Diceros bicornis minor: one gene and its partners. Each later gene encodes a partner of the first gene's protein in a complex. Links are inferred from orthologs where the notes say so. Each region holds a gene or a part of one and is shown in the gene's direction. Other genes may lie near its edges. The genes, in order: ARID1A, SMARCE1, SMARCA4 and SMARCB1.

Evidence for each region.
Region 2: ARID1A (region 1) and SMARCE1 share a complex: the UniProt entries of both Homo sapiens proteins name them as parts of the neuron-specific chromatin remodeling complex. The link is inferred for Diceros bicornis minor from reciprocal best matches to the Homo sapiens genes ARID1A and SMARCE1.
Region 3: ARID1A (region 1) and SMARCA4 share a complex: the UniProt entries of both Homo sapiens proteins name them as parts of the neuron-specific chromatin remodeling complex. The link is inferred for Diceros bicornis minor from reciprocal best matches to the Homo sapiens genes ARID1A and SMARCA4.
Region 4: ARID1A (region 1) and SMARCB1 share a complex: the UniProt entries of both Homo sapiens proteins name them as parts of the neuron-specific chromatin remodeling complex. The link is inferred for Diceros bicornis minor from reciprocal best matches to the Homo sapiens genes ARID1A and SMARCB1.

The regions. Positions count from the first base shown.
Region 1 is NC_080752.1:42,499,006-42,505,939, forward strand, and holds the start of ARID1A (AT-rich interactive domain-containing protein 1A), read left to right. Parts: upstream 1-3,929; 5' UTR 3,930-3,959; coding exon 3,960-5,093; intron 5,094-6,934. UniProt on the Homo sapiens protein: Involved in transcriptional activation and repression of select genes by chromatin remodeling (alteration of DNA-nucleosome topology).
Region 2 is NC_080757.1:40,093,443-40,101,411, reverse strand, and holds the start of SMARCE1 (SWI/SNF-related matrix-associated actin-dependent regulator of chromatin subfamily E member 1), read left to right. Parts: upstream 1-4,953; 5' UTR 4,954-5,057; intron 5,058-7,057; 5' UTR 7,058-7,102; coding exon 7,103-7,109; intron 7,110-7,284; coding exon 7,285-7,328; intron 7,329-7,969. UniProt on the Homo sapiens protein: Involved in transcriptional activation and repression of select genes by chromatin remodeling (alteration of DNA-nucleosome topology).
Region 3 is NC_080769.1:8,398,873-8,406,305, reverse strand, and holds the start of SMARCA4 (transcription activator BRG1), read left to right. Parts: upstream 1-4,432; 5' UTR 4,433-4,516; intron 4,517-7,433. UniProt on the Homo sapiens protein: ATPase involved in transcriptional activation and repression of select genes by chromatin remodeling (alteration of DNA-nucleosome topology).
Region 4 is NC_080774.1:29,771,597-29,778,916, reverse strand, and holds the start of SMARCB1 (SWI/SNF-related matrix-associated actin-dependent regulator of chromatin subfamily B member 1), read left to right. Parts: upstream 1-4,301; 5' UTR 4,302-4,421; coding exon 4,422-4,514; intron 4,515-7,320. Other genes in the region: MMP11 (stromelysin-3), read left to right, coding at 1-101, 218-434, 1,210-1,467, 2,412-2,545.

The DNA.
Region 1 (6,934 bases):
GGTAGTGCTAGACTTTCACACTGCTCCCAAAGCCTCCGCTGGGGCTGTTTCTGAACACGGAGTTACAAACTTTAAGACGGAAATCCAGACGGAAATCCACGCCAGGCTTTGAACTCTGCTTCTGGCTTCCGTCAACTGACATAGTTGCCCTTTTGCTCAAACTCGCAGCTCCGGTTCGCACTCGGGAGAGCTCTGCTGGGTGTCTGCTGCTTTGCCGCGGCGGGGACGCGTGTGGGGGCCACAACTCGGCGCTCCTCCGATCCCCCGCGCCTTAGTTCAGAACCAAGGCAAACCCTCACTGGGTCCTGGGCTTCAAACGTCTTCCACTAAAGGGAGTGGGGAAAGGAAGGAGCCCGGAGGAGCCCAGCCCGATCTTTTGTTTGTTTGTTGAGTTTTGTATTTCGGACACCTAAGGAAAGCAAACTGCGAGAGAGGAAGGGCTATCCTCCCTGCAAACGTTGCCCTCTCTTAGCAAACCTTCTAGGCCTTGGTTCCACATTTTGTAGTTGACTGCATGGATTTTAATAGGCTATTCCCTTATTTTCGGGCCCAATCCATGCACACTGTGCAGCGGGATAAAATGAGGCACATCCTCTGCCATTTTCAGTCGGTTTGTCCTGGCAGCCCTGCCCCCCTCCTTGGCTGCGGCCGCCGCCGCGGGAGTTAATGCTGCGCGCACAAACTCCGCCTGGTGCTCCGGACCGGAGATCCAGTCCACGTTTGCCAAGTGCCGTGCGGTCGGGGACGGTGATAAGAACTCTCCAGTGAGGGAGCGAGCGAGACTTTAGTCCGGTTTCCATGTCAACGATTCAGTCCATATTTGCCATCAGGCTGTTGGTGGCAGAGGCGCTTTCGTGAGGGTAGCGCTGTCCTAGTCCTAGTTCTCCAATCTGCGCCGGGATTCCTTAGCTGCCTGGGTGTGGGGTTAAAAAGGCAGGGGCCTTGGGGGAGAAAACTCCACCAAAGGGAGGACCCACAGCCCCAAACTCGAAGCTCGGGCCAGCCACGTGCCCAGCTCCTCCCCTCCCCCCTTTCCCGCTGCCACTGCCTCTAGGGAAAGCTGATGAGCCGGTTTCTAAGAAAGTTCCCTTCAACTCGGCAGTCCCCGGGATAGTGGTGTGGGGCTCTAAAGGTAGGGGTGGAAGAGGACCCTAAAGGATTTGAGATTAAAAAAACAAAATGAGAAAGGAGAAATCCCACATTACCTCTTCCAACCCAAGTGGATAGATTTTTGTGCACTCTGCCTTATTGCTAGAGAAAAATGGTGGCTGTTTTCAAAACAGGGTGCCCACGTGTAGGAAAGGGATTTGGGCAAATCCAAATTTCACAGCCAGTGAAGAAGGGAGATGAGGGCTTCCTCTGGAGACAAATCCATTATGGCTTCCAGATTTTCAGTGGGCTCCAGGTTTCCCATTACACTCCAGCTCTGAGGAAAATGGCAGGGTAATTGCATGTAAAAAATTCCTCATTTGTGTGCAGGACTCAAGACTGTTTGCCAGCTCAGAGGCAGTTGATTAAATAGCCAAGCTCCATTTATGAGGCAGCCTATAATTTGGTTTCTAGGACCTAATGCACTGGGAGAGTTGTTGCCTCTGAGGACTGTGAGTGAAACGAGGGCACTGGCCCATTCCAGTCAGTCAGACCCTGGTAGGCCGGTTTGGTTTTTGGCTTGGGGAAAAAAAAACACTCAGATCAACAGGAAGGTTATGCCTTTTTAGTGTCAGATGCTCTTAAATTTTCTTGAGGGTAGGAATGAGTCCAGATTTTTGGAATTATTCACTGTGACCAGTGGGATGGCCAGAACTCCAGGGGCCTGCAGAATCTGGAAGTTCTAAGATAATGGTTCTATGGCAATAAAGTCTCCATTTTATAAAATCTAAGGGGAAAGGAGGCCCTGGTGTCTAGTGACTACACTGGCCTGGGCCTCTCCCAAGGCAGCCTTCGGCCTGATGAGGAGCTGGAATCCCCTCTGGCTTTTGTAGCCTGTCATGTCAGAGCATTCCAAATCAGCCTGAGGAGGAAAAGGCTGTTGCTGGGATTTGGTGGGGCCTGTAGATCTGGAGTTTTCTTATGTATGCCTCCAGCTCAATCAGCATCTCTTAGAGTGTAATGGTAAACTCTGAAGAATCTTTAAGCTGGAGGACAGAAAACAAATTTGGGTTGCATCCATTTTCTAAGTGACCTGTTAGACTGCCCCTTTTCTCTCTTTAAAGAGAAAATGGTTTACCTCGGTTTGGCCATCCCTCTTCTGCAGTGGTCCCTTTGAACACTCAGGTTCCTCCAGTCCTGGGAGCCTTTTCTGTGGTCTGTTTATAGTCTTACAGGTACTATCTTTGGAGACTGGGGCTATTGTTCATTGTGGGCTAAGTTCTCTTAGGAGGCAAAGATGGAGCTTGGGTTCTTCTGCTAGAAGGCTGTCATATGCCCCCAAAGTAGCTTCAGTGGCAACTATTTCAAGTCAGTGTTGAGATGACCAGCTTTGATCTCAAACCCATTCTGATACTCTTATCCCATTGTTGGATATGGCACAATCCACAAAGTGGATTGACCACTTTTTTTTTTTAAAGCTAAGTGGACAAGGGCAGCTTTGGGGATTCTGCTACTTTTTAAAGCCGCCCTCTGACTTTAAGTGACAGGGCAGTCCTCTCCTCTCTGTTTATTAATTCTGTAAAATGGGTATATTCAGACCTCATGCCCCCAGGGCCTTGTGAGGACAGGCTAATGAGGGCAGGGGAGTGGGAAAATGGAAAGTCTGAACAATGATCTGTCATTCCATTCGGCTTGCCAAGGGGGTACAACGTAAGGCCCCACTTTGCTCACTCAGCTGGGTCTTTAGAGCGGGTTTCTAAAAGGCTTTGAAGAAGAAAAGTGCTGTAGAGGTGCTAAGAAGCAGCCAAGAGACCAGGCCCGCTGCCAGGGGGTCAGGCCTGGGCCGAGGCGGCCGCGGTCTCGGGCTCAGGCCAATTTTGCAGCCGCGAGTAAAGTTCACGCCGCCCGCTCCTCTCAGTGCGGCCTGGAGGGGACCGACCCGGATAGGAACGCCAGGAGGGAGGCGGCGCAGGCTCCGGAGACGCGCGAGCTCCGGGCCGGGTTTTCCCCGAAGCCTTCGGCGGCGGCGCTGCCGAGCGAAAGCGGCAGAGGGCCTGCCGCCGCCGCGGCTCGTTCTCTCCCCTCCTCCTTTGTGAGGGGAAGGGAGCGAGTCCGTTCCACGGCCTGCGCCCGCTCCGCACTCCGTTCCGGGTTTGCCAGGCGGCCGCGACGGCGCTGGGTAAAATGGCAGTGCTGAGCCTCGTGTCGGAGTGAGGGGGACTCGGAGGAGAGTGGGGCGCTCTAGCCGCTCAGTCCGGCCGCCCGCCCGCTCGCCCGCCCGCTGCCGCGCAGCAGCCTCGGCCGGCGCCGCGGCCGGGGAGGGGAGGCAGGGCGTCCGGTCCAGCCTGCGCTCCGACTCTGCCTCCCGGCACCCGGGCTGCTGCCGCGCGCCCTCCAGCCCGCCCGTCCCGGGTCCCCCTCCCCCCGCTCCCTCCCTCCCTCCCCGCCCCCTCCCCCTCGCCTCCCTCCCTCCCTCCCTCCTCCTTTCTCCGGCAGCAGAAAGCGGAGAGTCACAGCGGGGCCAGGCCCTGGGGAGCGGAGCCTCCACCGCCCCCCTCATTCCCAGGCAAGGGCTTGGGGGGAATGAGCCGGGAGAGCCGGGTCCCGAGCCTACAGAGCCGGGAGCAGCTGAGCCGCCGGCGCCTCGGCCGCCGCCGCCTCCTCCTCCTCCGCCGCCGCCAGCCCGGAGCCTGAGCCGGCGGGGCGGGGGGGAGAGGAGCGAGCGAGCGCAGCGCAGCAGCGGAGCCCCGCGAGGCCCGCCCGGGCGGGTGGGGAGGGCAGCCCGGGGGACTCAGCCCCGGGGCGGGGTGGGAGGGGGGGAGAAGACGAAGACAGGGCCGGGTCTCTCCGCGGACGAGACAGCGGGGATCATGGCCGCGCAGGTCGCCCCCGCCGCCGCCAGCAGCCTGGGCAACCCGCCGCCGCCGCCCTCGGAGCTGAAGAAAGCGGAGCAGCAGCAGCGGGAGGAGGCAGGGGGCGAGGCGGCGGCGGCAGCGGCCGAGCGCGGGGAAATGAAGGCAGCCGCCGGGCAGGAAAGCGAGGGCCCCGCCGTGGGGCCGCCGCAGCCGCTGGGAAAGGAGCTGCAGGACGGGGCCGAGAGCAATGGGGGTGGCGGCGGCGGCGGAGCCGGAGGCGGCGGCGGGCCCGGCGCGGAGCCGGACCTGAAGAACTCGAACGGGAACGCGGGCCCTAGGCCCGCCCTGAACAATAACCTCACGGAGCCGCCCGGCGGCGGCGGTGGCGGCAGCAGTGATGGGGTGGGGGCGCCTCCTCACTCAGCCGCGGCCGCCTTGCCGCCCCCAGCCTACGGCTTCGGGCAACCCTACGGCCGGAGCCCGTCTGCCGTCGCCGCCGCGGCGGCCGCCGTCTTCCACCAACAACATGGCGGACAACAAAGCCCTGGCCTGGCAGCGCTGCAGAGCGGCGGCGGCGGGGGCTTGGAGCCCTACGCGGGGCCCCAGCAGAACTCGCACGACCACGGCTTCCCCAACCACCAGTACAACTCCTACTACCCCAACCGCAGCGCCTACCCCCCGCCCCCCCAGGCCTACGCGCTGAGCTCCCCGAGAGGTGGCACTCCGGGCTCCGGCGCGGCGGCGGCCGCCGGCTCCAAGCCGCCTCCCTCCTCCAGCGCCTCCGCCTCCTCGTCGTCGTCGTCCTTCGCTCAGCAGCGCTTCGGGGCCATGGGGGGAGGCGGCCCCTCCGCGGCCGGCGGGGGAAACCCCCAGCCCACGGCTACCCCCACCCTCAACCAACTGCTCACGTCGCCCAGCTCAGCCCGGGGCTACCAGGGCTACCCCGGGGGCGACTACGGCGGCGGGCCCCAGGACGGGGGCGCCGGCAAAGGCCCGGCGGACATGGCCTCGCAGTGCTGGGGGGCTGCTGCTGCGGCGGCGGCGGCGGCGGCAGCCGCCTCGGGAGGGGCCCAACAAAGGAGCCACCACGCGCCCATGAGCCCCGGGAGCAGCGGCGGCGGGGGCCAGCCGCTCGCCCGGACCCCGCAGGTACACAGCTGAGTGGGGGAGGGGGCTGGGGCGAGCGGGGTCCTGGGAGTGGGTGGCGGCTGCGGAGAGCAGGCCGCAGCCGTGGGCTACCCCTAGTCCGGGGCCCCCATTACTGGGGAGCTGCCATTGTCTGGCTCTTCTCTCTTAAAATGGCTGCCTGTCTGCCTTCCTCTCCTTCTCTCCTTCAGCCTTTGTGTGGGGCTTTCCCTGAGGTGTCTGCTCCCCTTCTCCCTCTCCCCTGGTCCCTCCGAACTCCGAGGATCTTCAAGGGGGTGCGGGGCAGAGTGTGCGGGGAAGGGTCCTGCCTGGGGTGAGGGGGTTCTGGGGGCTTAGGCTAGGGGTGTAGGCAGTGGTAGGAGCTCGGAAGTTGAGTGAACAGTTCTTTGCTCACCTGCCGTTCCTCTCTGCCCCCCCTGCCTTCCTCTAGGCCGTCCCCCATCTGTGCTTTCAAGGAGGGGCCCCTCGGGCTCGAGGGGACCTCGAAGGAGGGCAGGGGCCTGCTTGGGGGCAGCTAGAGGCCGGCTGCGGTTCACCCGGGGCAGCCCGGGCCATCTCTTGTCTTAGTCTCCGTCGGCCCAGTGGCCTGGGCTTCTCCCTGGAAGTGCTGGTAAACAGCTGAGTGATTGGAGTAGTAAGTGCAGATTGCTTTGGTTTGGGATTTGAATTATGGAGGTAAAATCCTTCTGTCAAAGCCAGGAGACAGTTGGTCTTAGGTTGACATCCTATCTGTGATCTGATTGGCTCCCCATCTCCTGCTCTTGGCCATTTATAATTGCCTCTGATGTAATGGTACAACAATCCTGATGAGCTCATAAACTTTTACACTCTGCTTTTCTGCCAGTGATAACCCAAACCATCGCTGCCACTATCTGCCTTTTATTCCAGAACTGAAATTGGCTGTGACCTTGAGGAGGGAGGTTTAAGCAGCAATACTGTATCAGCAGGAGCAGAGCCCTAGACAGGCTGCCCTTGTTACATTGTGCCCGAAACAAAAGAGGAGGCAGTGGCATTTTGCGTGTACCTTGGATTTATTTTGCTTGTTATGTTTTATGCAGCCTGAAATAGATTCTGTGTTGTCAGAACAGTAGCTGAGTTTTTCTCTACAATGGGTTTGCTGTTTGTTTTGGTTTTGTGACTTTCCTGATAGTATAAATGACTTCTTTGATAGCTCTGAAGATGCATTTGTCTTGAGTAATTTTGACCCTGTTGGCTTTGCAGAATTGAAATTATTTTACTGGGCTGTTTATTGAGTGGCAAACTAGGATCTTTATGAGAGGGGATAGGGGAATTTTTTTTTTTTTTTTTTGAGAACTGTAAGTTTTCTGAGAGAGATTTCTTATTAGGTTCAAGTGTTTTAAGGATGGCTGGTCTCATTCTTTAGGTGTTGAATCTTGTTAACACTTTTCTTTTGTTAACTGAACTTTGGGAGAGCAGCTCAATTTAAAGGGAAGCTAACATCTTTCATGATCTTGAGAGGGACTTTCTCCTAAAGCCTTGGTTTGGTGAAATTTGTCCTTTGTTCCTGGAATATCAAAAAGGCCAATTTTCTTTTTTGTCATCAGTCGTTTTAAAGCTTTGAAATAGAGGTTGACCAGTTTTTCTCTCTGCATTTTAAAGTATGTTCCGTTTTTTTCTATCTTCCAAGATAGTAAACGTACATTTTACAATGACACTAAAGATTTGCTTAGAAATGACAACTTTTAGGTATGTTTTTATGCATTCTATCTTACTGTTGTTTTGCTCTTCTTCCGTCTTCATTGTTTTCTGTCTTCAGTGCTTTGGTCAGGAATATTGGGTGGTCTATGGAGTCATGTAACTTTTCAAAGAGGTAAAAAAGCTCT
Region 2 (7,969 bases), on another chromosome or scaffold:
CATAAAATTTTAGATTTTCTTTCAATTACTTGGGATTCCTTTTAGCCTGGCTTTTTCTATTTAGTGAAAGGGATGATTTTGTTCTGTCAAGGATCTAACAGCATGTTAAGTGCTTATTCTTGTGTGAGCATCTGACCTAAAATACATCCTATACATAAAAGTGTTTTCATTCGATATTAGTTAAATGCTACTAACTTTATTAAAGCTTTGAAAAATGCAATCATATAAGCTACTGTACTAAAGTTACTGTACTAAGCAACTGTAATCATAATAAAACAATATATCTAGTGTAATCTTTTTGCAGTCTTAAAAACTTACTACGGGGCATCATGAATGTAACTGCTTGTTAAGTAACTCCACTATGCAGCTATTGTGTGTATAACATGAACATTTTACAATACAGTTCTTGAATTTATAACAAAGTTTTATTTGCTTTGGGGCGTTTTAAATCGGGATATGAATTTACCAAAGTAAATGATACCACTACAATAAAAAAAAACTTCAAACATGAACTCTAAAGCTGCATTGTATTTGAGTTTGATACACTGTACTGAGTTTCAATGTTCCACTATGATTAGCTCACTTGGGGAATGAAGAAAACTGCAACCACAGTGGAGAGAGAATGGTTTTTATACTTTTTTTTTAGAAAAAAAAAATCAAGAATGGTATATTCTAGGGGCCGACCCGGTGGTGTAGTGGTTTTAAGTTCACACGCTCCACTTCGGCAGCCTGGGGTTTGCAAGTTCGGATCCTGGGCGCAGACCTACATGCTGCTCATCAAGCCACGCTGTGGCAGCGTCCCACATACAAGATAGAGGAAGACTGGCACAGACGTTAGCTCAGGGACAATCTTCCTCAAACAAAAAGAGGAAGATGGGCAACAGATGTTAGCTCAGGGTCAAACTTCCTCACACACACAAAACAAATAGAATGGTATATTCTAACAAATGGTAAATTCTAATTAAAAAATCAAAATAAAAACAATCCCATAATCCTGGGGAAAGTATAATAACAGTAGCCACCATTTGCAAAATGCTGACTCTGCTCCTAGCACTGTACTCAGCAACCTCGTACATAATCTTTAATCCTTACAACAATCCTACAAGATGCATAATATTATCCTTATTTTATGGATGAATAGAAAATATTCTTCAATCTCTCTGGAATAGTTCAACAAATGCATGCTTCCATAACAAAAAACAAAAATAAAGACTAATTCAAAGTACTAACAATTGTAGGATCCCAGCCTTGGAGCCGTCACTAATTACCCATGTAACCAGGAAGGAATCCCTTAAATTCCCTAGGCCTCAATTTTCACACTTGAATACAAGGGGAAAGGTGGTGGTTGGTAATAGTCCCCACCCTTCCCACCTCACAGAGTTGTTTGAAATACATACATGTGAATATATTTGGCAAAGTACTACTCAAATATACAGTACTATTTGGATAAAAATCATCACTGGGAGAGAAGAATTTGTGAGGACAATTATAGCTGACAATGATTAAGTAATAGCTCAAAACACAAGGGGGGAAGAGAATTTTTTTAACCCTTCAGTTACCGCCAGAAGAATTATTCTTTCCCAGTGAGTTACCCAATTTGAACTATTCTACCACAGTAGTTTTTTAAAGTACAAAAATGTTCTCTAACGTCAAAAAATGCTTAAATTAATTTGAAAGTTTCAAATGGAAATGCATTATGAGACATGGATCAATATTAAACTTTAGTGAAATAATATGCATACACACATTACTCAAATTATCTAAACATGAAATCAAAGGAAAGTTTGTGCACAGGGCAGAATTTGGTTCTATGTTTACAAATTATGGCCAGCATGTACACACAGATTGCCAATATTTATGAACAGAATACAAATAAACATTGTGAAATAAGGTATATGTGCAAATCACTACAAGCTTTTTCCAGTTCCTCTCACACACTTAAAACCCTACACCCAGGTTGTCAAACTTTTTCTGTGAAAACCCACATAGCAAATATTTTAGGCTTTTCAGGCCACATGATCCCTGCAGCAACTACATATACTATTCTGCCCTTGTGGCTGAAAGCAGCTAATACATAAATAATACATAAATAAATGGCCATGGCTGTGTTCTAATAAAACTACAAAAACAGGAGGCAGCCCAGATCTGGCCTGCAGCTTTAGTTTGCTGACACATGCCCTAGATCCTCAAATAAGATCTGTGGATGACAGATCATACCCCAAATTCTCCAGGACCATCCTGTTTTCAAACACTTTCATCCTTTTCCACGTGTCCCAAATCCTCAAGGTATTTAGAAGGTAACACAGAGGTTGTAAAAGCAAACCATACTTTGTCAAATTCTACAAAACATTGTGAATCCACTCTGCCCTGGAAATCTGCTGGGCTTCGATATTTCACAACCATTTCTAGCAATAGAACTGAATACCCATAACTTCTGCTTTCACAGAAACAGCTGAGAAAATCAGCCTATTCCACCATTTTGCCTACAACCAGACTTTTAGAGGCTATTCAGCTCAGCCAGAGTTCTGTCCTGTCTTTCCCTATTTTAAGGGAAAAAAATTCATTTCAGAAAGCTTCTTTAGAACACACTACAGAAAACTGCATGGCTCAGTGGTTGGTTCAAAATCTTTCTTGAGTCAAGACCTCTTCGAAAATCTGTTAAAGTACTAACCCTCTATCTGGGGGGGGGGGGGGGGGGAAGCACATAAAAATTGTGTACAATTTTAAAGGGTTCATAGACCTCCTAGAGCCAATTCATGGACTACTAGGTGTCCAAGGACTGTGGGTTTTTCCTTGTTGTCTCCCATTTTCTCCTTTTTCTCCTTCCCTCACAGGGATGGTTCTCTTTCCACCCCTAATTCCATCTCACTCCCCAGCTTCTTCCCACAGTACTATGGAAAGAAATCAAAGAGACCTGGGCTTGAATCCTAGCTTAATCACTTACTAGTTTTGGCTTCCCTGTTTTGGAGGAAGGAGAACCTCAAGGAAGTATGAGTACTGTCAGAGAGGAAAGCAGGTCAACTTCCTGGATCTCGCTGCCAGGAAGGAAACTAAACTCCCTGGGTCTAAGACTATCTCTGCAGTTCACAGCAAGGCCCCTGTGAGGGCTCCCAACAACCTTGAGAGTTACATATCATTTAAATAGTCATATTAAGGAGGCATCCCATATTTTCCAGGAATAAGCACTGTTCCAAAAGTCTGTCCTGTGGTTCCCATCAACATCCCTGTACATGCAAGATCATATGTTCTGACGTTTGCTTGGGGAAAAAACAAACTAATAACTCAGACATTTCACTCTGCAGTCTTAATTTCTTCAGGACTAGGGAAGAGGTTTTTTTCCGTATTATATTTTGCCTCTTTTCTTCCTTTCTTAATTTTGCAAATCTTTGGGAGTGAAGAACCAAAGGGAGGAAAATGAGATGGCCATTCATTTACTCATTCCACAAATATTGAGCACCTGAATGTACCACGCACTGTTTCAGAGGTCAAAAATCCCCACCCTCAAAGAGCTTTCATTCTGATGGAAAGAAAAAGACAACAAAACAAATACATAATAAATATACTACATTGGGTGGTAAGTGCTACAGAAAAAACAAAGCACAGACCACGAATCGAGTGGAGGTTGGAGAATGAGTTGCAATTTTAAATAGGTCAGCAACGACCTACCGAGGTGACATTTGAGTAAAGACCAGGAGGTGAGAAAGTGCATCAATGTCACTGCTTCACTCAGATCTCCTCCTTTCCTTTTTCACCATTTTTGTGCCACGCCTTTCTCACTACAGTGAGCTTTGTTCCTAACATCCAGCACCTGCGGCTTTTCTTCAAGAGGACTGCCTAGAGATGACACAAGGGAGCATCTGCCCCTGCACCTCACGTGCCCAATGCTCCACCATAACCTCAAAGGCAAGGAAGAAACCAGGCTGTAGGTGCTGGACAAGGCAGGAGAAAGAAGGTCCTGGGATCCCTGCTGAGGCCTTCGTGTATCTTACATTAATCCTTTCCGTCTCTGATGCTTTTATATTAAAAAAAGCACTTTCATGTACATTATCTCAAGCACCACTCAAGCTGCCTGTTATCCTTGGATGACCTCTCTTTTAGTCTTTCCCTTCACTATGCTCTTCAATTTCACTAATCTCTATTCATGAGTATACAACGAATGGGGTAGAGACTACTATCAAGTTATCAAAGAACCGTGCGAGTTCAGGGGAAGGATTGGGGGGCGAGCGGGGATGGAGTGAGTTTAAGCTGAAAGTGGGGGACAGTCGTTCCCGGGGAGGGAACCGAATGAGCCCAGGCCGCGCTGGGCGGAGACCAGTGTCGCCAGGGCCCACCACCCGGGCCAAGGGGATTGACACCTCTGGGCCTTGGCTCAGAAGCCTGTGGCAAGGACCCCACACTCGCGGTTGCAAAACCTGAAAAAGTGCGTGTCGCTTTTCGCCAAGGATAATGCCGGCCGGTTCCGGCAGGACGTCCTGCAAGGCGCTGGTGGAGGCGAAAAACCCGCCAGCCGGGTCCTCCACGACTCCATGCCCGGCTTTCTCAGGGCGAAAGAGGAAAGAAAGGGACCAGGGGGGAAACAAACAAAACCCGCGGGGCGGGCGCGGAGCGTGGCCGAGTGGCGCGGGCCGCGAGGCCGCAGTGGTTCCGGGGCCTCAGGTCGGGGCGACCCCGCCGTCTTCCGGGCCCGCGCGCGGCTCCCACGGCCCCTCGGCGCGTCCCCCGCCGGCGCTTCAGCCCCTCACGGCCGCCGCACCCGGGCCCATCCCGCGGTCGGGCCTCTCCGCCCTCGCCGCCGTGACGAATCGGCGCCGCCCGGGAAGGTACCGCATTCGGGAGGTTTGAGGAACGTATGGGGCCTGAAAAAAATCCTTGGCCGTAGGAAGCCTCACCGCGTCCTCAATAGAAAGTTTATTTTTCTAAAGAGAGTCGGGGGGACCCGGAGAGACATTCAGCCGAGTGTTGAAAGTGCGAGTGCGGAAGCTCCGCCGCGAGGGGCGGGGCCTGCGAGGGACAAAGGGAAGCGAGGCTGGAGCTGCGGGCGCGTTTTCTGCCCGCGGGTGAGTGTTTCCAACCGGGCTTGGCCGGGTCGGGGGGTGGGGGGGACGGGTGGCAAGTCGCGGTGTCCCGGCTCGGCTGGACCCCGAGCTCCCGGGGTTTGCTGGGGTTCAGGCTTGGCCGCGGGGCCAGAGCTGGGGGCCGCTTGCGGCCTCCTTGAGGCCTAGCGGAGCGAGGGTTGGGAGGGAGTCCCATCTGGGGCCCCTCCTTGGCGGCAAGATTTGCCCCTTCCACTAACGCCGCGGAACTGGTCAGAGCACCTGTGCATACCCCCCTTTGGTGGAGTTGCTGGTGAAGTGTAGCCTCCACGACAAACCTAATGGAAAGGATCTCAGAGGAAGCGCCTGGGACTAGCCAAGCCCGTGGTCCTCACCCCCAGGAAGGTGGTTTCCCCTTGGTTCAGGCAGAGACCCGAGGGCTCGCGGTGTGGCTTCGAGGGAAGAGCGAAAGCTCTGCAACCATTTGGCCTGGGTTTAAAACCCAGCTCTGGCACTTCCTGGCAGTGTGTCTTTAGACAAGTTACTTAAACTCGCCGAGACTCTCTTGTTTCATCCGTAAATAGGAGTGGCAGTACATATCTCCGTGGTAGTTGTGACTGTCAGACGAGGTAGTGTAGGTAATAAGCCTGTCCCGTGTAAGGGACTCAACAAATGCTTATCTAGTATTTTATGCCAGGCGCCGAGGATGGATCCACTGGTGGGTAAATGTACAAGCCCACCCTTAAGAATTTATAGTACAGCGAAGGAGAGCAATTATTTTAAAGCGTTAAACAATGAAGTGTGACGTATTAAGGATCTTGTGGCGGACATTGTCAGGGCTTCCCCACAGCAAGGCCAACGGGGTGTTGACAGCTCCCTGAATGTGCAGATTTCCACTAGAATCAATGGTTTCTGCCCGTTCCTTAAGGAAAGAGGGCCCAGGTTGGGCCACTGAGAAAATAAACTGTTTCTTTCCACAGCAGGCCTCTTATTCCTTATGCTCCAGGGAAGTCTCTTAAAATGCAACATAGAGGCAAAAAAATTCTGTTTGTTTCACATAATGTTGGATGAAAGTGCCAGTAGTCATAGAAGTTATTTGCCTTTTTTCTAAAAATGAATGTCTCTTTGTACGCACTGTGTGTGATGTATATTGATGTAAGCTCATGTGGGTACGGTCATGTTATGAACTGGTAAATACTAGGACAAAATTTATGAAGAATTGAGCTAGGTCCTGGGACTACAGTAATCAATTAAATTGTTGCTGTTCCCAGGCAGCGTACGATCTAGCCATATGAACAGGTATAATACGATATAGTAAACAATATCATAGACCTATGTAAATTGAGTAGGTGTACAGATGAGGAAGCAATTAATTTTGCCCAGGTAGTTTATCAAGAAAGCTCCATTGAGTAGATATATTTTGAAATGGACTATGAAGGCTTTGTAAGAGTTTTTCAGGTAGACTCTCAAAATTTATTCCCAGCAGTTACAAAGCTGTTTACCTCTATAAGAGAATGTAAAGGGCATTATCATACCAATTACCTTTTGCACTACCTCCAGGAATCAAATACTGCTCCATTTAATAGGAGTTGTTATTCTAAAAGGAAGGTAGAGCTGCTGCTGAGTGGGGGCTGTCGGTATCTGGTAGGCCTTGTTGGAGTGGGCCCTGATAATACGTCATTCTGTTGTCATTAAATTTTTATCAGTCTGGTTAAATGTTTACATGGCATCCATAAAATGTTTTCCGTACAAGAGGTGGCTCAGTATCATAAGAAAAACTTGAAAGTACGTGTCTAATATTACTTTTAATATCCCCAGTAATTTTAGTCATTTAATTCTGTTGAACCAAATGACCTAAAGAATTACTAAAATATGCAAATACTTGATTACTAGAAGACAATGTAAAGTAATTTTACTAAGAAATACCACTTATAAACTACCCTATTCTTTAGGAAAACATTCTCTTATGCTTGCTGAGTTTTGATTCTCATTTTTTTTCTTTTTTTTTCTTTTTTTTATTTTAGTGTCTCAGATTCATTCTTAAGGAACTGAGAACTTAATCTTCCAAAATGTCAAGTAAGTTTCATTTTTTATATTTATCAACCTATATTAATAAGAAACTAATGCCCTAGCAAATGGGAATTCCAAAATACTCTCATTTTTTTTCTTCAAAACAGGACCATTGGTAGTTTTGTTGCATAGTATTATATCTCAGTTGTTTACAAGAAGTTATTTATTTTCTTTCAAACAGAAAGACCATCTTATGCCCCACCTCCCACCCCAGCTCCTGCAACAGTAAGTTTTAATTTTCTTGTTAATGTAATAGCCAAGTCTGGCCTTGATACAAAAACCCAGATGTCTTCCAGTGACAGTCACTCAGTCATCACAGCAACAGGATGAAAAACTCAGCTAAAAAACAGCACTTCCTACTAAATAAAATAACTCTGCATCTTACCTTGACCAACCCCAACATTTAAAGAAACATACTGCTGAAATGCCAACCTCCTGCTCAGTTCTTTTTTTAATGGGAAATAAGGGAGAAGTTAACACTTCTTTCTTATTGATCTCCGTTAAGAGTCTTTCAGGTTGATATTGAATGAATACTCATTCTGGCATTTATTATTATTTTTAAACCTAACCTTCAACTGGTTACATTTTTCTCTCCTTGTCTATATATAATTTTCGTGTTAAACAATAAAGCTTCCAGTTCTAGAATAACACTCATTGTAAATCTTTATTTTCAAGCTGTTCAAGTAAGGATTTCATTATCTGTGGGTCAGATCCTGCTATTGAATTTTATTCCACTCCATAAATAATATTCTATTGGTTTGGGAATTGATATGTTTCAAAGCATCTAAATAATAGTTGTCAACTAGTTTTTTACCCAGCAAGCTCTGGCCCAGCTTGGTCAGCATGTAAAATACTTGTCCAATCCG
Region 3 (7,433 bases), on another chromosome or scaffold:
TGTATGTGAGTCGCCGCCACATCATGGCCGCTGATGAGTGGTGTAGGTCCACGACCAGGAACCGAACCCAGGCCACCAAAGCGGAGCATGCTGAATTTAAGCACCAGGCCATGGGGCCAGACCTCTTGATGGTCTCTGCCTTTTATTCTTGGCAAGATGGGAGCCATTGGAGGGTTTTGAGCAAAAGAGGCACTTACTGAACTGAAATTTTAACTCCTATTAAATACCCAAGTGGTGGTGTCTGAGAGGCAGTTTTCAGGAGCTCAAGGGTAAGGTTCAGACAGGAGATAAATATTTAGAAATCATATAGATTTTCTAAAAAGTTAAGGTGAGATTCCTATAACATAAAATTAAATATTTTAAAATGAACAATTCAGTGATATTCAGTATGTTCACCATGTTGTGTAAGCACCACCTCTAGTTCCAAACTATTTTCATCATCAACCCTGTACCCATTAAGCAGTAACCTTCTGCCACCCTGAGCTCCTGGCAACCTGCTTTCCCTCTCTATGGATTTGCCTGTTCTGGACACTTGACTCACACAACATGTGGCCTTTTGTGTCTGACTTCATTTGCTTAGCATGTTTTTGAGGTTCATGCACACTGTAGCATGGATTAGGACTTCACTCCGTCACGGCTGAATATTCCACAGACTGTATAGACCCCAGTTAGTTTACCCAGCCATCTGTTGGTGGACATTTGGACGGTTTCAACCTTTGGCTATTACAAACAGTGCAGCAACAACGAACGTTTGTTTACAAGTATTTGTTCAAGTACCTGTTTCCAATCCTTTTGGGTAGAGACCTAGGATGCAGATGATTTTTTAAGGTCACCAGACTGGAAGCCACAGAGATGACTGCAGATAGGGGCCCCAGGCCTGAGCCCCAGGTTCATTACTGAGGGGTCAGTGTCAAGTGGAGAAAGCCGCAAAGGAGCCTGGGAAGGGGCTGATGAAGGGGGGGAAGAAGCCCAGGAGTGCGCGGTGCCCTGGAAGGCAAGTGAGGGGACCTGCTCTAAAGAGCGGACGTGTCAGCCGTCGCCAACAGGTCAAGGAAGGTGAAGAGGGGAACTGACCCTCGGATTCAGCGACAGGGAGGTCCCCACGACGTTGATGCGAGTCATTTCAGTGGCTAGGAAAGGCCCGAAAAGAGCAAGTTTAATGGAAATTAGAGGAGACCTAAATAAACAGAGAGACACCATGTTCATGGATTGGAAGACTTAATTTTGTTAAGATGGCCCCCAGATTGGTCTACAGATTCAATGCAATCCCAATCAAAATCTCATCACGGTTTTTGACAGAAATTGACAAGCTGATTCTAAAATTTACAAAGATGCAAAGGAACCAGAGCAGCCTAAACAACTAAAAAAAAAAAGAAGAAAGTTGGCAGACTACTTGATTTCAAGACTTATTATAAAGCTCCAGCAATGAAGACAGTGTGTTCCCAGCATAAGGGTAGACATATCGAGCAAGGAACAGAATAGAGTCCAGAAACAGACTCACACTTAACTAGTCAACTGGTTTTTGACAAAAGTGCCGGGGTAACTCAACGGGGAAGCAGACAGTCTGGAACAACTGGTGCTGGAACAACTGAATATCCCTGTGGAAAACACTGAACTTCAATCTTTCCTCACCCCATACACAAAAATTAACTCAAAATGTATCACAAACATAAACGTAAGTGCTAAAAGCATCGATTTTGCTTAAACTGGGATTTCAACATATAGCCACAGACCACTGGTCTACAGGATTATTCCCATCAGACTTTTTTTTTTTTTAATAATTTTTATTTATTTATTTTTTTCCCCCCAAAGCCCCAGGAGATAGTTGTATGTCATAGTTGCACATCCTTCTAGTTGCTGTATGTGGGACGTGGCCTCAGCATGGCCGGAGAAGCGATGCGTCGGTGCGCAGCCGGGATCCGAACCCGGGCCGCCAGCAGCGGAGTGCACGCACTTAACTGCTAAGCCACGGGGCCAGCCCCCCCATCAGACATCTTGTCCTTAAAACAGGACTCCGGATCCTTCCTTCCAGTTTCCACGTCCCCACTGTTCCAGCTGCAGAGAAAACTGGCGTTCACTCACGACCCTCCCTCTCCTTTCAGGTCCACTCCTTCGATTTCTATCCATTTGACCTCCACCTTCCTTCATTGCCTCCACTCTAGTGCACGTCACCCCCTCCACCCTGGGCCTCTGCGATGGCCCAAAGGGGCTCCCCACTTTCTCTCCTTCCCCGCCAGCCCGGTCTCCACCCTGCAGCCAGAGCCGCCATGGGATTCTCCTGATTACAGCCCTTCATCTGCTTCCTACCGCGCTCCAGGAAAAGCTCCAGATCCTCACCACAGCCCACAGGGCCCTGCCCGGCGGGGCTGCTGCTGACCCCCCTCAGAGCCACCCAGCCCTTTTTCTGTTCCTAGGCTCTTTTCCTCTTCAGGATCTTGGCGCACCCTGTTCCCTCTACCCAGCGCCCTCTCCCAAAGGAGAGGTCCTTTGGGTCTCAGCATAAATGCCTCTTCCTCAGTGAGGTCTAGCTGACTCCTCAGTCCCAGGAAGGTCTCATGTTATGATCTCACTGCGCCCTGGGCTTTTCTTCCACTGCACTTACATTTTCCTACCGTGTATTAGTGCGATCAACATGGGAGACAGTCAACTGAACTCATGGACTGCCTGCTCCACAGGCAGGAACCCAGCCTACTCAGTGCATCACTGCGGGCCCATGACCAGCTCAGTGCGCAGCACATCGAGGACGCTTAAGAAATATTACTTGAGCGAATGAGAGAGACAGAGGTTCAGATCCCATGTGCCCATCTGCTGCGCATTACTCAACACTAGGAGCTCAGGTTCAGAGAACTCCCAGGCGGCCTGCTTTCACGGATTCCTCGTAACCAGCCAGTGGAGGAGGGTGCCATTACTGTTTCCATTTCACAGGTGAAGAAAGGGACGCGTAGACGAGTCCAATAAACTTGCCTGGCAGCCCCCAGCTACCAACAATGGAGTCAAGTTTTAAATCCAGGTCTTGGACGCCTGCATGAGGTCTCACCTTCTGCTCTATACTGCAAGTGACTCACCTTGGACTTGGAAAGAGTCAACGAGCTGATGCAGGTACAGGACGCACTCAGCAGACAATCGGTCTCTATCATTCCTTCAATAAAAAAATTTCAAGTATCTAGTATGTGGTGAATGGGGGCACTACGCTAGATGCTGGTATTCCCTAGTGATTAAAACTGACAACAGCTTTGCCATTGACATTGAAGGGAGAAAGACAGTCACTCAAGAGGGTACCCAAGAAATGTGAAGGAAGGGGAAAAAGGAGGCAGTGATCAAACAGGACGCAGTGAGTCAGCTGGGACCTGAAAAATGAGGAAGGGCAGGCCCGCGAGCAGCAGGGGTAGCGACAGTCCCAGGGGGCGCGGCTGTCCGGCTGCGGGGCTAAAGATGACGCTGCGGACACTTTCAAATCACAGAGAAGAGGTTTGGAGGCTCAGGGCCTTCACACTTGCAACAAGGCTCTCTCTCGCACTGCTTTCCTGTCTAGACTCAAACGTCTTCGTCGCAGCGAGGCTCCCCTGGCTGCCCCATTTAAACCTCCCACAACCCTCACGTCCCCCTCTCAACACAACGCATTTTCCTTCTTTCTCTGGCCTGCCTCCCCCACCGGATCGTGAGCGCCGCAGCGGCTGAGGTTTTTCTGATTGCGGCCGCAGCACCTGCGCCTGGGCCACAGCAGCAGGTCCATAAATATTTGCTAAGCTAATTAATGGCATCCCGGAGGCTGTGCAGAAAAGGCGGCCGCGGTCGGGCCCCGCCTGGTCCCGCCGAATAGGCCTCAACATCCCCCACCAAGGGTGAAAGCGGCTCCCCGGCCCGCCCTGGGCCGCCCGTGCTCCTCCCCGGCCCAGCCTGCCCGCCGCCTGCCCTCGCGCCCAGCTTCCAGTCCTCACTTCCGAGCCTCAGGGCCCCTCGGCCATCCCTTCACTGCAGACCCCGCTGCCACCCAGCCCCATCCCCCAACCTCCCACCGCCACCGCCGCCGCCACACCACCGCCGCCACACCACCGCCGCAGTGCCGCCCGCTCTGCGCATGCTCCGCGGCGTGGGGACGCCCGGCGTGCGAAGGCGGAACACCCGGTGCGCAGGCGCAGGAGCATCCGGGACAGAGTCGGGAGGCGCGTCGGGCGCGCTGGCTCTCTCGGGCCCCGCCCACCTCCCCCCAGCGCCGAGCAGACGCGCACGCGCGCTGGGAGCGGAAGGGCTGGCGGGCGCGCGCACGAGGCCGGGCGGGCGGCGGAAGCGGGAGAGGCAGTCTGTGGGGGGGGAGGGGAGCCGGCGAGTGCGCGCGCAGCGGGGGCGCGGGCGGCGTGGGGGGGCGGCCGAGGCGGGCGCGCGCGCGAGGCTTACCCTCGCTCGGCGGCGGCGGCTTCTTTGTTTCGTGAGGAGACGCGAGACGCCCACTCTGCCCCTGGCCCCGCGCGGAGGGGCGGGGGCGGCGCCGGGAAGGCGACGGCGCCGGCAGCTCCCGGTAAGGAAGGCGGGCCGCGGGGGGAGCGCGGCGCGGGGCTGGGAGGGCGGTTTGAATGGAGCCGGGGCGCCGAGGGGGGAGGGGGCCGCCGGCGCCCAGAGCGGGGCCGGGGTACGGCGGCGCCCGAGGGTCAAGAAGCCTGGCCGGCACCGCGCGCGCGGGGCAGGCCACAGTGCAGCGAGGCCGCGGCGGCTGCAGTATCCGCGGGCCGGGGGGTGGGGGCCCGGGCCGCGTGGAGGCCGCGCGCCCCCCGTGCGCGCTCTCGCCGGGGGCGCCGGACAAAGCTCGCGGCCCCCTCGACTCGCCGGCCAGGGCCCAGCCCCCAGTCGCCGTCTCCGCCGCGGCTGCAACAATAGCCCGGCATCGGGGCTTTTCTGGCTACGTTGTAACGGGTCGGACCCGAACGTTGCCTTTTTGGCGAGGCCGCGATCGGGGTTCAGTAGGGAAACGCCAGACGTGTCCAGCATCAACTGGACACGAGCATGAGCTGCCCTGAAATTTTATTCTACAAAAGCCACATATTGTAGATTTTCAAGAAAAGAGAAGTAACTCCCCCAATCCCTTGCAAGAAGTGACTTCAGAATGTCTGCTCTGAAGTGGGGGGTCGGCAGCAAGTGGGGGAGGGCCGGGGGAACTGTTTGCTGTTGAAAGCATTGTTTTTAGTTTGCATCCTTTTCCCTTCCTCCCAAATGATTTTCCAGATTAAGACTGTAATTTAAAACGTGGATCTCTCGGGAGAGTGTTTTGTGCCGGTCTTCAAGACACCAGTCTTGATTTTTCTCCCCGGTGACTCCCTGGGGAAAGTAGGGAATAGTTGGAAGATCCGCTTCCTTGGAATTGGAGACAAGTTTTCAGTTTGAATTGATACCGGATTCGAGTTTGCTTCCATCACTTGGCTGTGTGACTTTAGGCAAATAGCTTAATCTCTCTGAACCTCTTGGTTTCCTGAAATGGGGATAATGCCACCAGTGGAGTTGGTGAAGGCCTGTAAAATGGTTCCTGGCAAGTGGGAAGCACCGTTGTTACTGTCTGGTCAATCTCCGTCCGTTGCTCAGCAATTATTTGTTGAGTCCCTACTGGGTGTCAGATGGTTGGGGGTTGGAGCCCTGTGGAGCCTTTCCAGTCTTGTAGGGGAACAGGCGATAGATGTGGGAACAAGTCCCCTTGGCCTATCATCTAATCCTCACAATCCTCGCTGTGAGAGGGACACAGTGGACGCCCAGGGAAGTAGTGGAACCAGAGATCAGGGAGGCTGCCTGGAAGAGGGGACCTTTGCCCAGAACCAGGGAAGATGTTCCAGCTTGTATGTGGACCACCCTGGACCACTCATTGTTCCCCTCTGCTGCACTCACACGTCGCCCTGTCCTTTCCCATGTGGAAGTTCCCCCAGTTTGTAATTACACAGCCATTCCTCTCTGAGGGCCATCAGAGCAGGGGTCAGGTCTCCCTGGCCTCCCGCAGTGTACCCTGGGCCCGGCACATGGAAGGCCCTTAGCGAACGTTGGTGCCATGAGCGAGGAGGGTCCTTGGGAGCACTGAGTGAACATGGGTGTGAAGAGCTCCATGCAGGACTGGGGCAGTGGGTTGTAAGCAATGAACGTTAGTTGCTGTTGTGGGTTTTTAACTTTCCAGGCCATTGTTTGCCAAACCTCCTTCCCCCGGGAATGGGGAGTGGGGCGGTGGTTAGTAGGAGTGGCGGTGGGGGTCCTAGTTCTAGAATCACACCTCAGGTTTACACCCAGCTCTAAATCCTGGCTTGACCTCCAGCAAGACACTTACCAGTAGGTCCCGCCATTGGTGAAACAGGTGTGACCCCCCTCAAACTATTGTGAGGGTTGAATGAGATAATCTGGAAAGTGGCTTAACACACTGCAGCGCCTGACATATAGTGAGCACTCAGTTTGTTGGAGTTAATATTGCTCATTATATGTATATATGTATGTATATTTCTAATTTTTGTTAAAATCAGTGCATACACATGGCTGGCCTGGTGGCATAGTGGTTGTTTGTGTGCTCTGCCTCAGCGGCCCGGGGTTCACTGGTTCAGATCCCAGGTGTGAACCTACACACCGCTCATCAAGCCATGCTGTGGCAGCATCCCACATACAAAATAGAGGAAGATGGGCACAGATGTTAGCTCAGGGCCAATCTTCCTCACCAAAAAAAAAAAAAATGCATACATAATTATGAAAATAATAAATGTTCCTCCATGTGCCCCCTAAAATCACTTTGTGTGCAACCCTTCAGGAGGCATTGATCTTTTAGGCTTTTGAGCCGGGGTGACAGCATCAGAGCTGTGGTGTGGGACAGTGACGTGGTTGCCACACTTTTTCTGTCAGTGAAAAGCACCCCAACATGTATGCACCTTTATTTATGTATCTTTGCCACTCCTTATGGATGCTCAAAATACTGAGAGGGAACCCTAGACCAGCTCTGTGTCTTAGCTGTTTATTGGCTGTGGGAGAGTGGGAGGAACTAGGTGTTTCTGGTGAATGTCTGGTGAGAACGACATTCCGCCGGTGAAGAAACTGAGGTCCAGGAATATTCCTTCACCAGGGGCTCTCCAGTCCACCGTCCAGGTTTGACCCCTGGTTTGGCCACTTTCCCTCGTGGTGCCTCAGAGAAATGGGGGTGACAGTGCCTGGCACATAGTAAGTCCTCAGATGTGCCGGCCAATTTTGGCCTCAGTCATCAGGGCTGCCCTGCACAATGGGACCCATTCACCTCAACCATAGCACACAACGTGAACGGCGCCCCCAGGAGGTGTGCAAGAAAGCGCTCAACCGCGCATTCCCCATTCATATAGGGAACAAGCATGCATCGAGTGCCCGCCATGAGCCCGGCACTGCTGGGGGCTGAGGATTCGGCCAGGACTGGGCAGACAAGGGCCCTGTTCTCATTTGCTCATATCCATCTC
Region 4 (7,320 bases), on another chromosome or scaffold:
TCCAGCACCTATATGGCCGGCCTCGGCCAGCCCCCACCTCCAGGCCCCCGGCCCTGGGCCCCCAGGCTGGGGTGGACACCAATGAGATTGCTCCACTGGAGGTGAGGCCCAGGAGGGTGGGAAGACCGGAGGTGAGGCCCTGGTCCCAGCTCCCTCAGCCCGCTAGGCTCTGTGGCTCCAACGTGGGCTCTTTCCTGGCCCTTCTCTCCCACCCCAGCCGGAAGCCCCACCAGATGCCTGTGAGGTCTCCTTTGACGCAGTCTCCACCATCCGCGGCGAGCTCTTCTTCTTCAAGGCAGGCTTCGTGTGGCGGCTGCGTGGGGGCCGGCTACAGCCTGGCTACCCTGCGCTGGCCTCTCGCCACTGGCAGGGACTGCCCAGCCCCGTGGACGCAGCCTTCGAGGATGCCCAGGGCCACATTTGGTTCTTCCAAGGTGAGTGGGAGTTGGGGGTCATGCTCAGGAGACTTCCGGGAGCCAGGAACGGTATGGCCAAGGGTAGGGACAGACAGACAGACGTGATGGGCAGATGGTGGGTGCCCCGAAGCCTTGGGGCCAAGGGAGAGTGTGGCTCACTCCTCTGGGCACAGCTAGGGGGCTCGCGGAGGCGGCGGCTCTTGAGGTGGGAATAGGGTAGAAGGTATTGCACGTGGCCTGTGTATTGGTGCAGTCAGCCCTCAAAGGCACCCCGTGGAGTGGGCAGGATTATGAACCCTGGTCTAGAGATGAGGCCTCCGGGGCTCTGAGGTGAAGTGACTCACCTGAGGGCACAGCTGGGAAAAGGCAGAAGTGGGATGTGACCTAGGTCTGGAGAGCCTAGAGCCTGTTCCGTTAACTTGCAGCTGGCAGAGACGAGAGCCTGGAGCATTCGAGGTGGCAGGGATTTCATAAACAAAGGCCCAGCCAGGGTGGTCAGCTGGCACTTGTCATGGGCAGCCACATGCCAGGGGAAGAAGTGGGAGGCCAGGCAGCCTCTCTGCTTAGAATAACCTTTCCCGCGGGCACCTCTCCGCGTCTGCACCACTCACCTTACCCCGCGGCTCCAACTGCCCTCTGGCGTGGGGTGCTGAGCAGGCATTCCTGGCCTTTGTGTTTGACAGACAAGGGACTGAGGCTGGGAAAGTCTGTGGCGGTGGTGGCGGCTGGGCAGGTCTGCGGTGGCTGGGCATGGCAGTTGGGCAGCTCCGTTGCAGCCTCCCCCCTCTGGCAGGCGCTCGGTACTGGGTGTATGACGGCGAGAAGCCAGTCCTGGGTCCTGCACCCCTCTCTGAGCTGGGCCTGCTGGGGTCCCCAGTCCACGCCGCCTTGGTCTGGGGCCCCGAGAAGAACAAGATCTACTTCTTCTGCGGCGGAGACTATTGGCGCTTCCACCCCAGCACGCGCCGTGTGGACAGCCCTGTGCCCCGCCGAGTCACCGACTGGCGAGGGGTGCCCTCTGAGATCGATGCCACCTTCCAGGATGCTGACGGTGTGTTGAGGGTGGCATGGCTGGTGGAAGTGGTGGCTGGGCATCAGCTCCTCATCACAGGTCCTTTGTCCAGTGCCCTCCCTATCCCCTGTCCTCCTGCCAGGGCAGTGCTATACCCCCGTGCTGCAGATGAGGAGATGAGGGCCAGAGAGGTACTAGGACTTGCCAGGGCCCTGGGTCATAGCTGGTCAAATAATAACCGCTGCACACAGAGGACCCACGATGCTCCAGGCACAGCACCAAGCTCCTTACACGTCTCATGCAATTCTCAGATGTAGCACCTGTTATGAATCCAGTTTCCAGAGGAACAAAGAGAGGTTCAGGCAATGAGGTCCCTAACCGGGGCCGTCCAGGTAGATGGTGGGGAGCCAGGCCCCCCACCTAGGCAGTCCCTGCTACTAACCACTGAATCACCCAGCCTGCAGTCTCGAAGGACTAGATTGGGAACTTGCAGTCCAGTACCCTCTCCTGTGCCCCCACCCCCACTTTGCTTCTGTGCCTTCCCACATCAGAACCCACTGGGAGCGCTGTCCTGTGGTGGCCTTGGGCTCTGGGGCTCCAGGTTGCCCTTATCATCCACCTTGACTCAAGATGCCCATCTGTAGTTTTGGCTGTGGGTGCGGGAGTAGAGTGACTTGGGGAGGGGGGGAGTGACGAGAGAGACTTGCTTTCCTGAGAGGTAGGAGTTGAGCCTCTGAGGCTCCTGGCATTTGTTAGGCTGGGTGGTAGCTCAGACCAGACTCTGGGGGCAGGCGAAAGGGTTCCTCCGAGGGAAGGGAGGTTCTAGAAGGGCCACCGTGGGGCCTGCAGTTTTCAAGAAACTCAGCAGCGGCCAAGGCCTGCCCACCCGGACCGCCCCCTGTGCCCATCCCTGGGCACAGCCTGAGGGGCGGGCGTGGGGCCCAGTGTCCACTTGCCCAGGCCTGACTCGCCTCTCTACTCAGGCTATGCCTACTTCCTGCGTGGCCGCCTCTACTGGAAGTTTGACCCAGTGAAGGTGAAGGCCCTGGAGGGCTTCCCCCGCCTTGTGGGCCCCGACTTCTTCGGCTGTACCGAACCTGCCAACACTTTCCGCTAACCAGCGTGGATGCCCTCAGGGCTCCTGACCCCTGCCAGGCCACTGACATCAGCTAGAAACCTGTGGCCATCTTTGTGGCTGTGGGCCCCAGGCATGGGACGGAGCCCATGTCTCCTCAGGGGGGTGGGGAGGGGGTGCTGCCACCATGACAACTGCAGGGAAGGCCACGCGGGTCGTGGTCATCTGCCAGCGACTGTCTCAGACTGGGAAAGAGGCTTTGGTGTTAATTAAGGGTGAGGGTGGTTCAGGTCGGCTCTGCCCTACCTCGTGCAGGTCACGGTCAAACCGGCCACCCTCAGTCTCCATCCCTGTCCCTCAGCAGGGCTGGGGGAGCTGGAGCCCTCACTGGTTGGTGATCCTGGAGATCTGCTCCCCAGGATCCAGGCCAAAAGGTCCACAGTCGGCTGGGGAAGAGGGGTGCTTCCTGCCAGAGACCCCAGGCCCTGGAGGCCCCAACATACCTCAATCCTCATCCCAGCACTGGGACCCTCCAAAGCCATGTAAATGTCTGTAGTGTGTACAAAGCCTTTTTTTTTTTTTTTTTAAACTAAGGACTGTCATTAAACATGGTCATTTTCTACCTGCTTGCCTGGGGTCTCTCTGTGACTGCAAGGCCAGGACGGAGAAGGGGTTGGGCCAGGAAGGTGGGAGGCCTGGCTTGGGACCTCCTCTGTCCTGGGAGCCAGGGTCACAGCCCATCCCACCCGCAAGCCTCTGGTCCTTGGGGCTGGGTGCAATGCTTGGGGCTCCTCCCGCTCCATTCCTCCATCACATCTCACTAGATGCCTGTAGTGGCTTTGAAATTGGTTCCCTGTTTCCCCGCTTGCCCCTCTGATCATGCTCCACTAAGTGGTGGTCGTTTTATCTGATCATGCCACGTCCCAGCCACCATCCTAAACTCCTGTTTCCCAATGCTCTTGGGACACAGAACAAAACTCATGGTTGCCACGGCCAACCCTTCCTAACTCTCCAGTGTCTCCTTGCCCACCACCCAGCCCGACGTGTATCTTCTTCATAGTGGCACCTATCACAGCTGCAATTCTATTAGACTTGAACCATGTGAAATTGTTAGCAGTGGGCCGTTGCTGACCTACTGCATCGTTCACTGGATACATGGATGCTCTGATGCTTTCATTAGCGTCAGTCCCCGCTCCGAGCTTTGGGTGCCACAGGGCAGGGCTGGCCAGTTTCACCGCACAGTTGGGCTTGTTGTAGGCACAAAGCACAGTCAAGAAAGGAATGAGGAGGTTCCCTCCTCTGCAACACTCATCTGGTGCACCAGCCAAACCAAATACCACCTGGGCCTGGAAATCCTGCCAGGCCCCACCCAGGGTTGTCATTCTGCCCATCCCCACAGCAGCAGGAACAGCTGTGAGCCCGGAACTGCAGTATCTGTTCCTAGGAGCCCTCTCATCTACTCAGCAGCACTGCATTCCCGGGTGGGGAAACTGAGACATGGGTAGCTCGGGCCTCCTCCCGCCTTCAGGCCTCATTTCATTCTTCTTCCACTGGGCTGAGTTCCAGTCCCAGCTGTGAGACTGCGAAAGCCACCGCCTGAGTCAGGGCCTCGGTTACTATTTCTGCCCGCGAGAAGTTTCCCTCGGTACCTCGACTCGGGAGGCGGCCTGGGAGGAATAGACACGGATCGAGGCTCCTTTAAGGGGCCCGCGGGGGCGCGCCTCGGCCTTTTGTTTGGGCGACGGCGGCGCGCGCGTCAGCGTCAAAGGCCGCGCATGCGCACTGAGGGCGGTCTGGTCGTCGTCTGTGGCTGCCGCTGAGGAGCTCAGCTGCGGCGCGAGCCCCCGGCCTGTTCTTTGCCTCGGTGTGCCCTCTCAGTCTCGCTGCCCGGCCTCGGCCCCCTGCCTCCGCCACCGCAATGATGATGATGGCGCTGAGCAAGACCTTCGGGCAGAAGCCTGTCAAGTTCCAGTTGGAGGACGACGGCGAGTTCTACATGATCGGCTCTGAGGTAGCCCGCGGCACCTCCTCGCCCTTCTCGGCCCCGGGGTCGCGGGAGCCTCAGAGCAGGCCTGCGCGCCGGGAACGCCCGTTTCCATTCATCGCGGCGGGGGGGGGGGCGGGGGGGGAGGTGGACGCGAAGCGCTGGGGGCGTGGTCGGGAGGGCGTGGTCAGCGAGCCCCCGCCCCCCCGCCCTGGCGGTCCGGGATAGGTTAGCAATTTCGCGGTGGTGGGGACGCGCCCCGCTACCAGGGCTGGGGCTCCCCGAGGGGCACCGGATCCCGCTGAGTGGGTAGCACTCGGGTTAGACCCTGAGCGCTTCTGGGGGGCATGTTGGGAATCTCACACGCGCCGCTACTCCATTGCTACCTATGGGATCCTGAAATAGCCGGCTGGAAGCGTGGGCTCAGTGAGGGCTCATCCCGTTGTGTTGCCTTTGAGGTGGACTTTGAGGAGGTGTTTTGACCTTTGTTTACCCGTTAGGAAATGGGTGGCGAGGAGGATGCTTGCTTTTGGTTCGATAAGGCCCCAGGCTACCAGCTAGCTCTATCAGCAATTCGGGAGCAAGTGCCACTTTGGATGTCTTGAACTTACTCAGAATTATGAGGAGGGAAAGATCCTAAAGGTCTTTTATCTTTGACTAGAAGTGACAGCACTTTGTCGAATCAGCTGGATGACTGACTTTAGGAACACCCTACACCTGGTCCTTCAGTGGGAATTTGTACTATGTATATTAAGTTTTTCCAGAGTGCCTCAAACTAACCCTTTCTGGTCTAAAGGCAGTCCTCAGACAGTGTATATTCCTTTTTTAAAAAAATGTTGGATATACGGTTCAGATGTGCAGATACTGAGCAGTGGAGTCTGTCTAGGTTAACGAGGCAAGTGCCGATCCTGGAGAGCTAAAGTAGGTACAAGATGCCCAGGGCTGTCTCTCCTTGTAGCAGTTTTCAGTATCAGACGCCAACATTTCATTACTGTTTTTACAGTTTTTGGGTTTTTTCTTCACAGTTGAACATAATGTGAGTGAAGCAAGCCCCATGATGGTCACAGTAGGCTTTCAGGACACCCTGTGATTCCTGGCTTGTCTTAGTTGTATCGAGTTGTGAGACCACTGTTGTCAGGAGCATCTTTAGTGTTTCCATTTTTCACTAATTTTTATAAAACAAAAAGGACAGGATGCAGTAACATTTTCAAGTTATCACATAAGTGCTGCTCTTCAGACATACCTGTGCTGGGGAAATGGAGCCAGTGCCTGTCCATCTGCCACAGCTCACATGGTCCTCATTGGCCTACTGGTCGGCACCTGCCTAAATGCAGGATAGGAGTTTCGGTATGTGATAGTGGGCAGGTTGTTTAAAGAAACCTTTACCTGATCTAGTGGGCAGGAAGAGCAGTCAGTTTGGCCTTTGAGTGGGTGGTACTTTTGAAAAGCAAGCCTTCATTTATTAGGTGGAGCAAATTGAGAGAAGAAGCACATGGCCAGATGGGGAGAACGTTGGGAGGCCTGGTTCCAGCACTGCTTGGCCTCCCAGTCACTTTTCTTATGTGTATAATGAGATGTTTAGACTAGATGGTCTCTAAGATCTTCCCCATAACACATTTTAGTTTCTAGAAAACTAACTACGGTCTTCTCTTTCAGCCCTCTTGAGTGAGAACAATTGACCTGAGACCCAGTCTGTAGAGACCCAGGGGGGAGAGGGGGGCGGTGGTTTGCTCTCTCAGACCTGGCTTGACGATCGTCAGACCTTTGGAGGTCTGGGAAGGGTTCAAGATCAGGATACTGTCTACTGATATCCAGCAGCTCCTGTGACAGCATTGAGTGGATGGCCACCAGGCCCCTTCCCCTTGGGAAACAAGCACCATATTCAGAGAGGTGGGCCGGCGAGAGCAACACATCCAGTGCCCCCATGCCAGTCCTCGGAACAGCCTTGGGAGGGCGTCTGCAGTCACAGGGAATGTGTGTCACTGTTCTCCGCCATCTGCAGGCAGCTGTGTTCCCCGAGCCAGAGTCACAGAGCTGAGAGGACTTGAAGAAATGCCCAGGTCCACTCCTACATTTTACATTTGGGAAACCTGAGTCCAGAGAGGGCGAAGGCTGGTTCAGGGAAAACCCAGGAAGGCAAGCCCCGCTCCCCTAAATTCTGAACGATTCTTGGGAAGGGTCTAGGAGTCCTGGAGCCCTGTAGTACCTGCAGGGTAGAGGTGGGGGCATTATTGTCAACGTCTTCGTGAAAACCTAATGGAAACTGGACATTTGCCCTCGGATGGTAATGGCATTCAAGCCAAATAACGTGAGGAGACTGTGCCTATTGTGTGGAGCACGAGTGACTGGCTGTGGCTGCCTTTTGTCGCTCTGTTCAGCAGCTCTGGTTGCCAGTTATATAAATCTTTGATTCATGAAAAATGGAGAAACATTTTTATTTAATAAATATACTATGCTGGATAGGTAAATGGGGAGATAATAGAAGTGGTTCTTCCTGGGCCAAAGTTCAGAGTTGCTGAGCATTTGGCAGATGAGTAAGGAGACCCAGAAAAGGAAAGTAATTCCCAGTCACAGGTGGAGCCAGCATCTGGCACCCAGTCGGCTGACTGTCCCTGCCGTAAAACTCAAATGATCATTTTTTTTGTGTGTGTGAGGAAGGCCAGCCCTGAGCTAATATCCTATGCCAATCCTCCTCTTTTTGCTGAGGAAGATCGGCCCTGGGCTAACATCCGTGCCCATCTTCCTCTGCTTTATATGGGATGCTGCTAGAGCATGGCTTGATGAGCGGTGCGTCGGTGTGCGCCAGGGATCCGAACCAGCGAACCCTCAGGCT